Linked DNA regions of Arabidopsis thaliana. The protein of the gene in region 2 interacts with the protein of the main gene of each other region in a pairwise test. Each region holds a gene or a part of one and is shown on either strand. Other genes may lie near its edges.

Region 1 (5,757 bases), on a different chromosome or scaffold from region 2:
TCCCAAAGTTTCTTCCTCCATTACGAAGCAAATGTTGTCTTTGATGAATCAAACCACTTGGTATGTGAAGGAGACAAAGTTGTGTGATCTTGTTGGAGAAATCAGAGCCACTCTCACTCTCTTTCCTCAGTTTCTCAATTTTCCACTTTGGTAACTTCAACTTCACGCTACTCACTTCTCTCTCTTCATCATTAACCTCTGTCTTCTTCTTCATTACCGAGAGATCAGATGATGATCTACGAGACAGCTTCAGATTCTCTAATCTCTCCTTCGCACTCATCTGGATTCCCGACCGAACCCTTCTTGGAGTTCTCTCTTTCCATGTTCTGTCACATGGGTTTTAAATGATTTACTCAAAAAGATTCTAACTTTGATACCTAAAACTAAGTAGAAAATTGAGGAATATAATACCTTGGAAGTTCAACCATGAAGTAAATCCTTTTGGATTCCAAGTTTTGGTGAGGCTCCAAGGGCTTTGCTCTGATTCCTAAACGCTTCACTGCTTCGGATTCCAAGAGAACGTGGCCTGGAAAATCTTTAACCACTGTACCAGCTTCCACAGGCGTTTTCAGTTTGAAACTCTCGCCATTGATGTTCATGATTGTCGCTGTTTTCTTGGTTCCCAAGCTATTTCCCATTTTGGTGAATGATGTTGTGTAAAATGTTAGTATCTTTTAGGTTCACAAATGAGATGAAAAAACTTTGTAGGTTGGTGTCTATTAAGAGCTCAGTAGTTCAAGGTGGGTGTTGTGTTAGATCAGATCATTATAGATTTTGGATTTGATTTATGGTTGGTTGCTGATGATAGTGAACCATTTCTTGGTCAACAAAATGCCAAAATCTTGAAAATTATTAAAACAATGAGAAGACAAAAGTTACGTCGCATTTCACTATCAATCTTGAAAAGACCAATAACAACCCAAAATTTATGCTTAATTTTATAAATAGAAATGGAAAATGTGTACTGTTCTTCACTTCGACCATAGTATATTTTGTACTATGTGATTTTGGAAGTTTTGAGACCAATGTTTTCTGAGAAAATGACACTTGCGTTAATCGCTCCGATTAATCTGGAAAACTACGTTGTCGAAACATTTTTTCTCAAAGACACGTGAAGAGATTGACTTTTAACGAATTTGAAAACAAAAAGCTGATTTGATTTCTCTTTCTAGGAACAGTAACAACACACGACCTTTATCAAATCATATGAAACATTTTTTTTAACAAAATTAACAAATCAATACAAAGATGAGTCAAAGAGTTCGATTCTCGTTAACTCTTTTGACTCCACCTTCTCCTCAAATGGAAATTAAATTAGTCTTCCAAAAACTCAATAAGATACAGGACATAATAAACAGATCAATAGCCAGCAAAACTAAATTAATTCATGTTAAGGGCTATTTAGAGTGAACCTAATTTTCGGGATGATTTACGGAGAAGCTCTAGTAAAGAATTAGCTTTTCGTTTAGCTCTCTCTGTACCGTCTCTTGATAGTTCCATCAATGGAACAACAGCTCCAAGTCTACCAATGGAGATCAGTTTTTCAGTATCTCTCTTGCAAAGACACAGTAGTATCGCAGCTGCGTTCTCTCGGTTTCGCGGTTGATCCTTCTGGAGACAATCTATCAAAGGTGGTATTGCGTTGGCTCTCAAAATCGCAGTTTTCGCGACTTGGTTACTAGCTAGAACCGAGAGTATGGTCAAGGCTTCATCAGCCATCCTCTCGCTCGAGGAGTCTGTCAGCATTTTCACCAATGGCTTTACTATACCGGCTCTAACTGCTCTGCCTTTGTTTCCCTGGTAAATACACAAGTTGAACAGAGCCGTAGCTGCGTCTTTCTTCCCTCTGACGCTTCCATATTGAAGCAGATCCACTAAGGCCATTATCGCACCTGATGCGCCTATAATGATCTTGTTCTCATCAGCTAACGAAAGACTAAAGAGAGTAGCTGCAGCGTTTTCTCTAGCTTCCATGCTTCCAGCTCGGAGGACTAGCACTATAGATGTGACTGCTCCTGCAAGCATGATCAGTTCTTTGTTGTGTTCGTATATGGAGAGGTTAAGAATGCAAGTGACAGCATTTTCCTGCGTTTCAGTGTCACCATCTGAGGTCAAAAGCTTGACCAAAACAGGGATGGCTCCTGCCTCTGCAATCAGAATTCGGTTGTCTGTGCTTCTTTTTGACAGAGAGCGGATTTCAGAAACCGCAGTCCTGCGGTCTTCGATTGATTGGCTAGAGAGTTTACAAACCAATGCTCGGATCGCTGACATATCTCCACTTAGATCACGGAAAGACCCATCACTGTTTTTGGTCCTACCGTTCATGTAACCACCTGGTTGCTCAATGTTGTGCTTAGTGCACCACTGAGATATCAGGCTTCTGAGGACATAGTTTGGAGTAAGAGTAAAGTTTTCAAGTTTCTGCTGTGTCTTTGGGCAGCTCAGATTTCCACAGTCTATCCATCTCTGAATGAACGACCTCTCGTATGTCTGCCAACGAAGAGAGAAGATCATTGTTAAGGTTTCAAATCAACAACCATACGTTAGCACTATATAAAGATTTGATTTTTTAAACCAGACCTGTCCTGTGGAAACAATAGCAGGATCCTTCATCAGTTCCAGAGAGATTGGACAAAGAAAGTCCTCTGGAATCGTGAGATTATCCGATTTCTGTGAGTCATCGCTGTTCTCGGTAACTGCTTTCTCTAATCTCTCATCATCACCATCCTTTGATAAAAAGAAGGCCAATGATACTGAAGAGCTCTTCCAAGGAGGGGGTGATTCAAATTTCTTCTCATCTGATAAAGAATGCACTGTCTCTGGAATACTCTCCAACTTTTCAATAACTTTTCTATTACTTGAGGCATCTTTCTCCATTGGCTCAGATAAACCACTCGAGAACTTCTTCGAATTTAACGATCCATATCTCTGCATTGCTCTTCTTAACTGTAATCTTGCTAGTTCCACCTAATCACAAGCAAAAAAAAACCCTTAGAAACACCTCCATGGATAGGAAAACCAAATCTTCATACATTCTACATAATGAACAAACTTTTACCTGTTCACGGACTTCGTCAGAGATATCATATCTATCATATGTCAAATCACCTAATGCTTTCTCCAGCTTCCATGTAACACATTGGAACTGGAATGAGATCCTCTTGGCTGCCCCATCCTTCAATCAAAATCACACATCAAAGTTTAGAGAGCTCCTCATGTATATATTAATAATGCTCTTCACTACACAAATGTCAACAATAGTATCTTCCAATCTAAAAAAACTAAAAACAAATTCTTCCTATAAATTACGTTCCTGCCATGGCGAGACCAAATCTTCGTGAAATCACAAATCCATTTTCAATCGTTGAGAATGGTTTAGAATGCTTACAGAGGACTCGCGAGCTTGGAAACTAGTAGCTGAAGACAAAAGACGCTTCGCGGCTTGAAGTCCCACCACAAGATCAGACCACCAATCACATTCATGAGAATTCAACGAAGAAGAAGCATCAGATTCCGACGGCGGAGAAGAATCCCTGATTTCCTCAATCAAATGCGTCAGGAGACCGACTCGTCGCGCGAGATCGGAACAATCCTTCTTAAACAAACCAAAATTCCCCGGAATCTCATTGATTTCAGCAATAAGACCGATGAGAGAATCGGGAGTGATAGCTCCACCAGCCATTACGCCGTCTCACACGGCGGCTTAAAATTCGAATTTTTGTGACTCGCTCTCTCTCTCTCGCTGGCTCGCTTCTGACTCAGAGATGCGTCTCTATCGCTTTTATGTATCCAACGAAGCCATGTGGCGAAAAAGGATAAGTCGCTGTTACGACACCGTTTTGGTTTTAGTGTTTTTTGTTTTAAACTTTTTATCTAACTCTAAAAATGGTTTTTTCTTTTCTTTTTAGTTTACTGGCTTTATATTTTTAGATAAAAGTTTATGTGATACATTTAAATAATACAATAGAACAAACTAGATAATTGAGAGCGAGATTCACGGTGCAAGTAGAGGTTGAAGAGAAAATGATACAGTTGTCAAAAAAATAATCAATTATTATCATTTATATTAGATCAAAACTGTATAATAGAAATGAACTATACTTTTAAATTCAATAAAAAAATCCACTTTTCTATTTATTGAAGAAAATGGTTTGTTGTGTGCTTAGTTGTAAAGTAGATCTTATATGATTGTATTTTATAGTTGTGTTGAAATTTATGTTGGAGTTATGAAATTTATCTGTATGTATTATTTATGTAATCTTAAATGGTAATAAATAGTCAAATTAGTTATTTTTTCTATTTGAAAAGAAACTAAGATAAAATTTCCAGGCCTTTAGATGCATTGTATTGACATGTGTTTCTAGTATATGATCTGTCTTACCCTAGTGTTTATTAAAAGATGGAAAAAATCTTCTTTGTAATTAACTAAATATAGCTTTACATGTTTTATTTTCCCTTAAAAATAACTTTGTATGTGTAAGAAAATTTAATATCTCTTACAGCAAAAATGTTCTAGAAAAATTATGTCAATTAACATAATTTTGGTGAGTATTATATAGCCTGCAAATGGAACGGTCGAACATGACCCGGTAGATCGAATTTTAACAACATTTTAGATAATTTGAAGCATGTATACAAATTGGGACCTATAATTTTCTTAAAACTGTTTTACCACAGTTTAGTATACTTTTGATTAAAATTTATAAACATGACTTACATATAGTTTGTGACAGTCTTGTATTGAAAAGTTATCTCGGTTTAACAAAAGAAAGGTTCAACCACGACATCCACATCATATCGGCCGACGTCCATGCCCGTGACTTCTGCGTCCTACATAACAACCGATAGCAACTTGAAAAATAGACAACATTATCTTTTAGACATTTTTGGCAAGTTTGACTGGCTGGTTTCATAATTATTTTTGGACATATGCAAAAATAAAAAGATCTACATAAAGAAGAGGGTATTCGTCTGAATCAGATGAAGATTAATAACCTTGAAGTGTTTGATGAGGCATGTGATTTTTGCTTGCACATCCACACACAACTCTCCATTAACCACAATACTCACCGTTATTTCTGAAATTTATGGTGTAGTTGTACTTGCGGAACAATATGAAAGTGAAGGTGAGATCAGAGTTTATACAGTTGTGGAAACAACTTCTTTGATGGTTGTAGATCCCGCAATCGTAGAAACAACCTTAATGATGATTGTAGTTTCGATGATAAATATTGGTCCATTTTCTTAGCAAACAATCTCCTCTTCTATACTTGTCAAACATTCATATTCTTTGGTCATGCAATTTTGTTTAATATTTGATGATGTTTGAATAGCGGTTGTACAAATGTATTTACTTTCTAATTTTTATTTTAAGCATGTATGAAGATACTTTAAACAAATTCATTGTGAGTTTTGTTCAAAATATATGTGAACGTGTTTGTACTAGTTGGTGCATATTTGACCGTATAGTCTCCATGCTTAAGACATCCTTAAATCGATACATTTCATTATTTTATAAGTTAACTAATTTGCTTCCTTTATATCTTTAGTAAGTAATTTTCGTATTTATAGATTCCTTTGTGCGAAACGAGAGTTTGAAATTGCTTTTGAATAAAGAGTAAAGTGTAGTTTGGAGGAAAATGAACATACTTGTCCATTTTAAGAGAGTTAATTAATACTTCCCGTCAATGTGCACCGTTAACATTGCTGTATTAGCTATAATTTCTTACAGCTTGATTGATCAAATAAGCAGCGGTT
Region 2 (6,923 bases):
ATGTCCTTTAACGGTGGAGTTTTCATTGTCGCTATCGCCGGATTCGCCGTGGGTTTCATGCTCTTCGGAAGCACTGCTTTCAAGAACCCCTCTGATGACGAGAAACCCTTCGAACAACTATGATCACTCTTTATTTTACTTGGAAAGAACATTTCGTTTGTGTGTATTTAATTTGCGTTTCTTTGAATTTTGATATTTTGTGACTAGAATTTGGAATTTTATGAAGAATATAGCCATTTTTGCATTTTATTGTAGATGATGTAGTCATGTAGATGATAAATTTCAACCACAAATTAAATAACAAACGCCGTCCATCACTCGATTAGTTCTCTACGAGATAAGGTGAACTTTTTATTGATCAACAAAACACATATATCGTTGTATGTACCCAAAAAAATTTATAAGAAAGTAAAAGAAAAACACACGAAGACAAGAAGAGCTAAAATATATTAAACTTCATTGTATAGATATCTAAGACAAACTTAATCCATATGTGATATTCACCCTTTTGGTTTCGTAGATATAAATCCATAACAATTTAAATTCATGTGTGACAGTCAACATTTTGTTTATTCCATATATTAGTTCACAATATACCATCATCTGTTTCTTCATCAAGACTTAAAAGATTAGACGAAGAATAAGAAGAAGAAACCATTTGTGACTATTAATTTCATGACTATCCATGTCATTTTTGGAACTTCCTTCAATATTTTATTTATTTTGTGTGTCAAAAGGATCTTCATCGTAAAAAGAAAAGACAAAACAAAACGGGTGCTGTAATGATGTTGAACGTTTAAAGCCTAACATCAAAACTCACAAGGATCTCTGTTTATCAAGAAGGCTTCTTTATTGAATGCATCTCCCAAAACATCTAACATCAAAACAATGGATTCGCATGCTTCGAACCTTTCTCACTTAGAAGTTCACATAACAAAATATGACTGGCTCACAAAAAGTGTAAGTCCACTTATATGTTCTACACCAATCGAGCTCATCCTAAACGGTTATAATATCCGTAGAGTTGGTTTAATTTTTGTTTGGTTATTCCATGGGAAAATAAATTACAAAGTTAAAAATTGCCAATATTCAGTCATTAAAACATGAAAGAGGATAACTAAGCAAAGTTCGCAATCTACTTATCATCTATTTCTTCTACACTATCATGTCATTTTTGGAACTTACATCAAAGAATTTTCAATTAAAAAAACAAAAAAAAAAAAACAGTTTGGTTACAAACTTGTAACTAAACTAATGACAATTATAAAATCATCAAATAGTTAACCATAGTTCCTAGCTATAATAATGGTAATTAAAGTCCCAAATTGGGCAAGACAATTCCTGAAAGGCAGAAGAGGGAAGATGAGATCATCTTAAGAGCACCAACTAGTTGCCATGATTTTAAACTAAAATCTTTGAATCATGGTGCTTCTCAAAACAAAATCTTAACTTACATAAATAAGAATAAGTAAATATAAAATGAAAAGCCCTAAAAACTTATAACTTCAGGATGGACATGAAGCTATCATAATGATCTGAAACCGTCATAGTAAGGTTACTGAATTCCTTATGAGTGGAAATAGGCAGTCCTTCGATCATGACATTTTTGATACGTTCCATCTTCAAGTTGTAAAAGAAAAGACAAAACGGATCAGATAGTTTTTTTGAAACGAGACAAATTTCGCCGGCACAGAATAACAAATAGAGCAATGAGGCATTTTCAAACTTTTAGCCAACAAGCTTTGATATGACTTTATAACTGGCATCGCAGCACCTTATCGAGTAATGCAGTTCATATTTACACCTTTCTTTTACACAAAACCAATCCCACTCCCTTTCTCATCATCCACACAAAGTAGCCGGTAAAGCAAAAAAGCTCTTATACACAAAGAAAGCAAGAATTGTCCCAAAAGAAAACTCTCATACATCACTTTGCTGTTTCTTTCTTAACTTCGTTATTCGTCCAGACTACTTGCTCCAGAGAATTAGAGAGCTTCTTATAGAACTGCAAACAAACCATCATCTCTGCTTAGCTCATAAACCAGTTAATTACCCTATCATATAGTCGAAACCAAGCTATTTGACTTACCTTGTGAAATTCGAGAGTGTCTCCTTTCGACTTCGATACTTGAACCATATGAAGACTTGGCGCTACTTGGAATATCTGCTTGTTGTCACACCATACAAACAAAAAACACACTGATTCAATAAACCATCACCAACACTTTCTTGAATGTCCAGTCTCATATAACATACCTCTGTCGCTACATTGAGATTCCCCTTTCTTCCAGCCTTCACATTCTCAAGCCTCATCTGATTTCAAGTAATGTACTACGACGTCTTTAGTTATTGATTCTTTTCATTTCATTTCATTTCCGTTACAGAGTTTTCACTAACCTTGTAGTTCTTCTTTTGAACATCGAAACCGAGAGGCTTTGCAGCTTCTTCTATCTTCTCGATGATCTCATTCGCGCCTCCTCTCAATGTTATCCTTGTTTCCCTCTTAAATTCCTGTTTTCAAAATAAAATATTCCGATCTCAGAATATGGAGACAGGAGAGCCAGTCTTTTATAGGAACAGAACACAAACCTGTTCTGGATCAAACAGATTCTCTAGGTTAAGTCCCCTTGACATTGAAATGATCTCGAAGGCATTGATCGCCGCTGGCTGTTCTTCTCTCTTCTCAGTAACAAGATGTTCCTGTATATGATCATCACATGCGTTATGTGATGCTCTTGTTAAGAAAAAATGAAAAAGAAGAAGAAAAACTATCCACACCTCAGAGTCCTTGAAAACAGCATCAATATCGTCCATGTTTGAATCATCCCTCTCCTCGAAAACAGGTGGCTTGTAATCTTTCTTGAACCATTCATCTTCGAAAACCTCTTGCGGTGTTACACGCTGACACAAAACCAAATCAACTCAGTTTCTTCAAATTGCATAGGAAACAAACAATCTAAATAATAGTGAGTGTTTAGGATCCTCATTCTCCGGTAATCAAAAGACATGTTTATTCGATTAGTATGCTTAACCAAGAACTAGTGGTTGATTTTTGCCAAAAACAAGGGAACAATCAGAAACTGTGCAATGAAATGAGAGATGAAGCAGATAGAGTTGTACATGTTATTATGCATAACACAGGTTCCTCAACTTTTTTTCTCCAGCCCTTTTGTGCTGGAAAAATGGAAAACATGGTTGAGTAGTACAATAAATCATGGTGCAAAGGAAGGAATATAGAGCTCATTACTCAACTCTCAAGGGTTTTTAAAAGCCATAAAGTTCATGTTTGTGTGAAAATTCTTAGCAATGGACAGCTTTTCGCTCCAACAGTTGTGGACAAGTAAATGCCTTTTATTTAGAGGGGTATATGAGCATGTAAAAATTACTTACAGTCATCGGATTCGGATCTAAGATTCTAGTGATGAGTTTCATGGCACCGAGTGAGAGCCACGGAGGACAGTTGAATTCACCAGATGATATCTGCACCAAACCACAAAAATGCCGAAAGGGAGTTATAAAAATCCTAAAACAAGCATTGCTGGAAGATTCCATCTAAAAGAGAGAATTTTAGAAAAGAGTTGCTCACTTTTTTATAAAGATTCATTAGATTAGAATCATCAAAAGGTAAGTAACCTGCAAGCAGGACATAGAGTACAACACCGCATGACCACATGTCAGCTGTTGCTCCATCATAGCCTCTATCATTGAGAACCTAAAACCCGCAAAGATGTCGGTTATAAAGACGTAAAATGAAAGGATAATATTATAAGATATAAAGAAATCATGTTTGTTTTAGGCAGACCTCAGGAGCAACGTAGTTTGGTGTTCCACACGATGTATGCAAGAGTCCATCATCCTGATATCCCCAAGCATATAAACCATGTTTAAGAATAGATATATGTATATAATTTTTGACAACAAAATCCGTAAGTTCTTAGGAAAAATGAAACCACTTCTTGGAACAGTAAAATACTTATGGAAACAGATGGTCATTACCCTGACTTGTTGGGACAAAGCACTTAATCCAAAATCTGAGATCTTGAGGTTTCCATAGGAGTCCAATAGTAAATTTTCAGGCTGCAAAATCACATTACAATAGTCAATTACTGGCTTACTGCACATAATATATGCATAGGTAACTTCTCTATCAATATACCATGTTTCAGTCCTACCATCTATAAAAACAATGTATGTACCTTGAGGTCTCTATGGTAGACCCCTCTGCTATGACAGTAGTCCACAGCATGTATAAGCTGTTGGAAATATCTCCGCGCCTCATCTTCTTTCATCCGCCCATCATTTACCTTCATTCATAAGTTATCACTATCAGATTTCACAACTATAATGTGACATCACAGAATCACAACCATTTATAATTGTGGTAACTAACTTACAATCTTATCAAAGAGTTCTCCTCCTGTAACATACTCCAAGATGATAAATATTTTCGTCTTACTTGCCATCACCTGCAACAACAACAACCAGTACAATTTCGAAGTAAGTAATTTCCAAGTACATAGTACATAATCAAATAACACATTTATCTAAAGAAGTGTTAATTACCTCATATAATTGAACAACATTTGGATGTTTTATCAACTTCATAGTAGCTATCTCTCTTCTAATCTGTAAAATTCAACAAAAAAACACAAGCAAGATCAAAATCAACCGATAAAAAACCGCAATGCGAAAGCAGAGTATCCATAATTCAATAATAACAAAAACCTGTTCAGCCATTTTATGCTTGAGAACTTTCTCTTTATCAAGAATCTTGAGAGCAACAGGTTCTCCAGTTTCAGAGTTTCTAGCAAACTTAACTTTAGCAAACGTTCCTTCTCCAATTGTTCTTCCAACTTCATATTTACCTACTCTACGTTTCACTTGCTGTCTCCGATTCATTTCTCTAACCACACCACAAACAAATATCACTCCTTCAGAAAACTTAGAACAAAGAACGAAACTTTAGAGGATTTGATTGGAAACAAGAAAAGGGTAAAGAAGAAGCAAGACAGAGAATATCTCAATCTTATATATATATATATATATATATATATATATATATATATATTACTTATTTAAAAAGCAAAAAAGAACCTTAATTTTTTGTTGGGGATCAACATAAGAGAAGATCTGATAGCTACAGAGAGATTGAGTGAGAAAGAGAGAGATTTAAAATGGCTTTTGAGAGAGACGAAGAGACAGAGGTCGTGATAAACGATGAAGAAGAAGAAGAAGATTTATTTTGATTATTAAATTTTTGTTGGAAAAATTCGTTTTTGGTGAGAAGTTACAGTTTTGCTTTAAGGAGTTTCAGTAGCAGACAAAGATCCTTAGAACAGAAAGAAACAAAAATTAATTGCTGTCTTTGGTCTTTTTTTGAGTTTTGTAACTTGTAACCACTAAAAAAAAAAAAAAAAAAAAAGGCACAGTAACCGATTTCAAAGTTTTAAGATGATGAACTCAATTCGGATCTGTTTTCTCTTTTCTTTTCTTTTATTTTATTTTGATATTAAATTTCTTTTTTTAATGTTGAATTATTTTTGCCAAACAATTCTGAAATAATAATGATTAAAAATGATAATATTAGTTTTTTTTAATGGATCAAAGAATTGGGGCGAATTTTGTTGTGACTAGTGAAGATTTTGTTTTTTTGTTTTTGTGATGAATGTTTGTTTATTGACTTACTGATAGTGACAATAACTAACAAGATTTTTCGATTTAAGTAATTTTGTCTTCCACAAAAGATTGAACATGTAAAAGATACTAATCTGTTGTAAAAAAAAAAGGACAATACTAGGATCTAATCTAGATGGTATACCACCAGATAAGTTTGTATTTTTATATATAATAATGTTCAATTTTTATATGGACAAACACATTTTATGCAGCTTCGCTTTAACAGTCTCAACTTGACTGACATTTGATATATGAGAGTTATAGTGCAGAGTTTACTTTGAGTTGAATGGTTATTATAAAATTTAATCAGTGGCAACTGGCCCACTGGCCAGTGTGTAACAACAAGCAAAGATCCAGAAAGATTGACAAATTAAAAGCTAATTAAATTATTCGAACCTAATTTTCTTGTTCAGATTTGTTTCACTTTTAATATTCATAGTCGTAACCTTACTCGAAAAAGACATCCACGTTATTTGTAAGAGTTCCGGTGCATATCACCCATCGCTTGCAATTACTATCTAGTTGCTGCAAAGTTAAGAAATCAATTTTAAAAATGAGAATGAAGAAAAGTTTCAAATCCTTTTTCTTGGCATTGAAGTGGTTTATAAACTCCATCAAATCCAGCTATGTGAAGAGAAACAGATAATCCACAAAGAATCAACGCCAAATCACAAAATCTATCCAAAAGAGAGGTTTCCAAGTTAACAGACTCGGCTGGTGATATTTGAAGAAAGAGACTTGAGCTGTGAGTTCCATTTATCAACCGCCTTATGCAACTTCCTTCCATTGCCACTGTCGCCTCTCAGTAAGTAACGGTTCATTTCATCAATGTGACCATCGATTCTGCTGTCGAGTATCAGCGACACTAGTAACTCCGTCACATCCGTCTCTGGCACGTTCAGTTCCTTTGATATGAACGGAATCCCTATCTTTGTGTATGGCTTAATCAGCTTCAGTAACACTTGTGTTCTCACTTTCTTCAGCAGATCTTCCATGTAGTTTCTGATGAATGGATCATCCATTATCGTCCTCCGGTTACTCTACATTCCAAAAACCATTCCATGAGTGTCGTTTTCATATATAATGAGTTGAAAAAACAACCCAATAATACTTCACTTTTTACCTTTAGTATTCTCTCAAACTCTATGATCTCATTTCGTTGATATGCTGCGATCAAATTTGTCATTGCCAAAATCTCAGGGTCGTTTTTGTACCTGCAGAGAGCCAACTATGAAGCAACGAACCAA

Evidence for each region.
Region 1: the proteins of CIPK3 (region 2) and AT1G71020 interact in a protein complementation assay, tested with the Arabidopsis thaliana proteins (one large-scale study listed by BioGRID).

Annotation. Positions count from the first base shown.
Region 1 is NC_003070.9:26,789,424-26,795,180, forward strand, and holds AT1G71020 (ARM repeat superfamily protein), read right to left. Parts: upstream 3,897-5,757; 5' UTR 3,683-3,896; coding exon 3,389-3,682; exon of another isoform or gene 3,176-3,388; coding exon 3,059-3,175; intron 2,968-3,058; coding exon 2,581-2,967; intron 2,491-2,580; coding exon 1,402-2,490; 3' UTR 1,126-1,401; downstream 1-1,125. Other genes in the region: AT1G71015 (plastid movement impaired protein), read right to left, coding at 1-326, 412-638. UniProt on the Arabidopsis thaliana protein: Functions as an E3 ubiquitin ligase.
Region 2 is NC_003071.7:11,513,307-11,520,229, forward strand, and holds CIPK3 (CBL-interacting protein kinase 3), read right to left. Parts: upstream 5,387-6,923; 5' UTR 5,121-5,386; coding exon 5,095-5,120; exon of another isoform or gene 4,904-5,094; coding exon 4,726-4,903; intron 4,627-4,725; coding exon 4,564-4,626; intron 4,467-4,563; coding exon 4,395-4,466; intron 4,305-4,394; coding exon 4,197-4,304; intron 4,078-4,196; coding exon 3,997-4,077; intron 3,857-3,996; coding exon 3,803-3,856; intron 3,713-3,802; coding exon 3,587-3,712; intron 3,481-3,586; coding exon 3,391-3,480; coding exon of another isoform or gene 3,352-3,390; exon of another isoform or gene 2,902-3,351; coding exon 2,779-2,901; intron 2,701-2,778; coding exon 2,590-2,700; intron 2,512-2,589; coding exon 2,398-2,511; coding exon of another isoform or gene 2,365-2,397; exon of another isoform or gene 2,314-2,364; coding exon 2,257-2,313; coding exon of another isoform or gene 2,165-2,256; coding exon 2,090-2,164; exon of another isoform or gene 2,006-2,089; coding exon 1,928-2,005; 3' UTR 1,397-1,927; downstream 1-1,396. Other genes in the region: COPT6 (Ctr copper transporter family), read left to right, coding at 1-123; FUS12 (proteasome family protein), read right to left, coding at 6,378-6,716, 6,800-6,890. UniProt on the Arabidopsis thaliana protein: Involved in the resistance to some abiotic stresses (e.g. high salt, hyperosmotic stress) in young seedlings, by regulating the expression of several stress-inducible genes (cold- and salt-induced genes but not drought-responsive genes).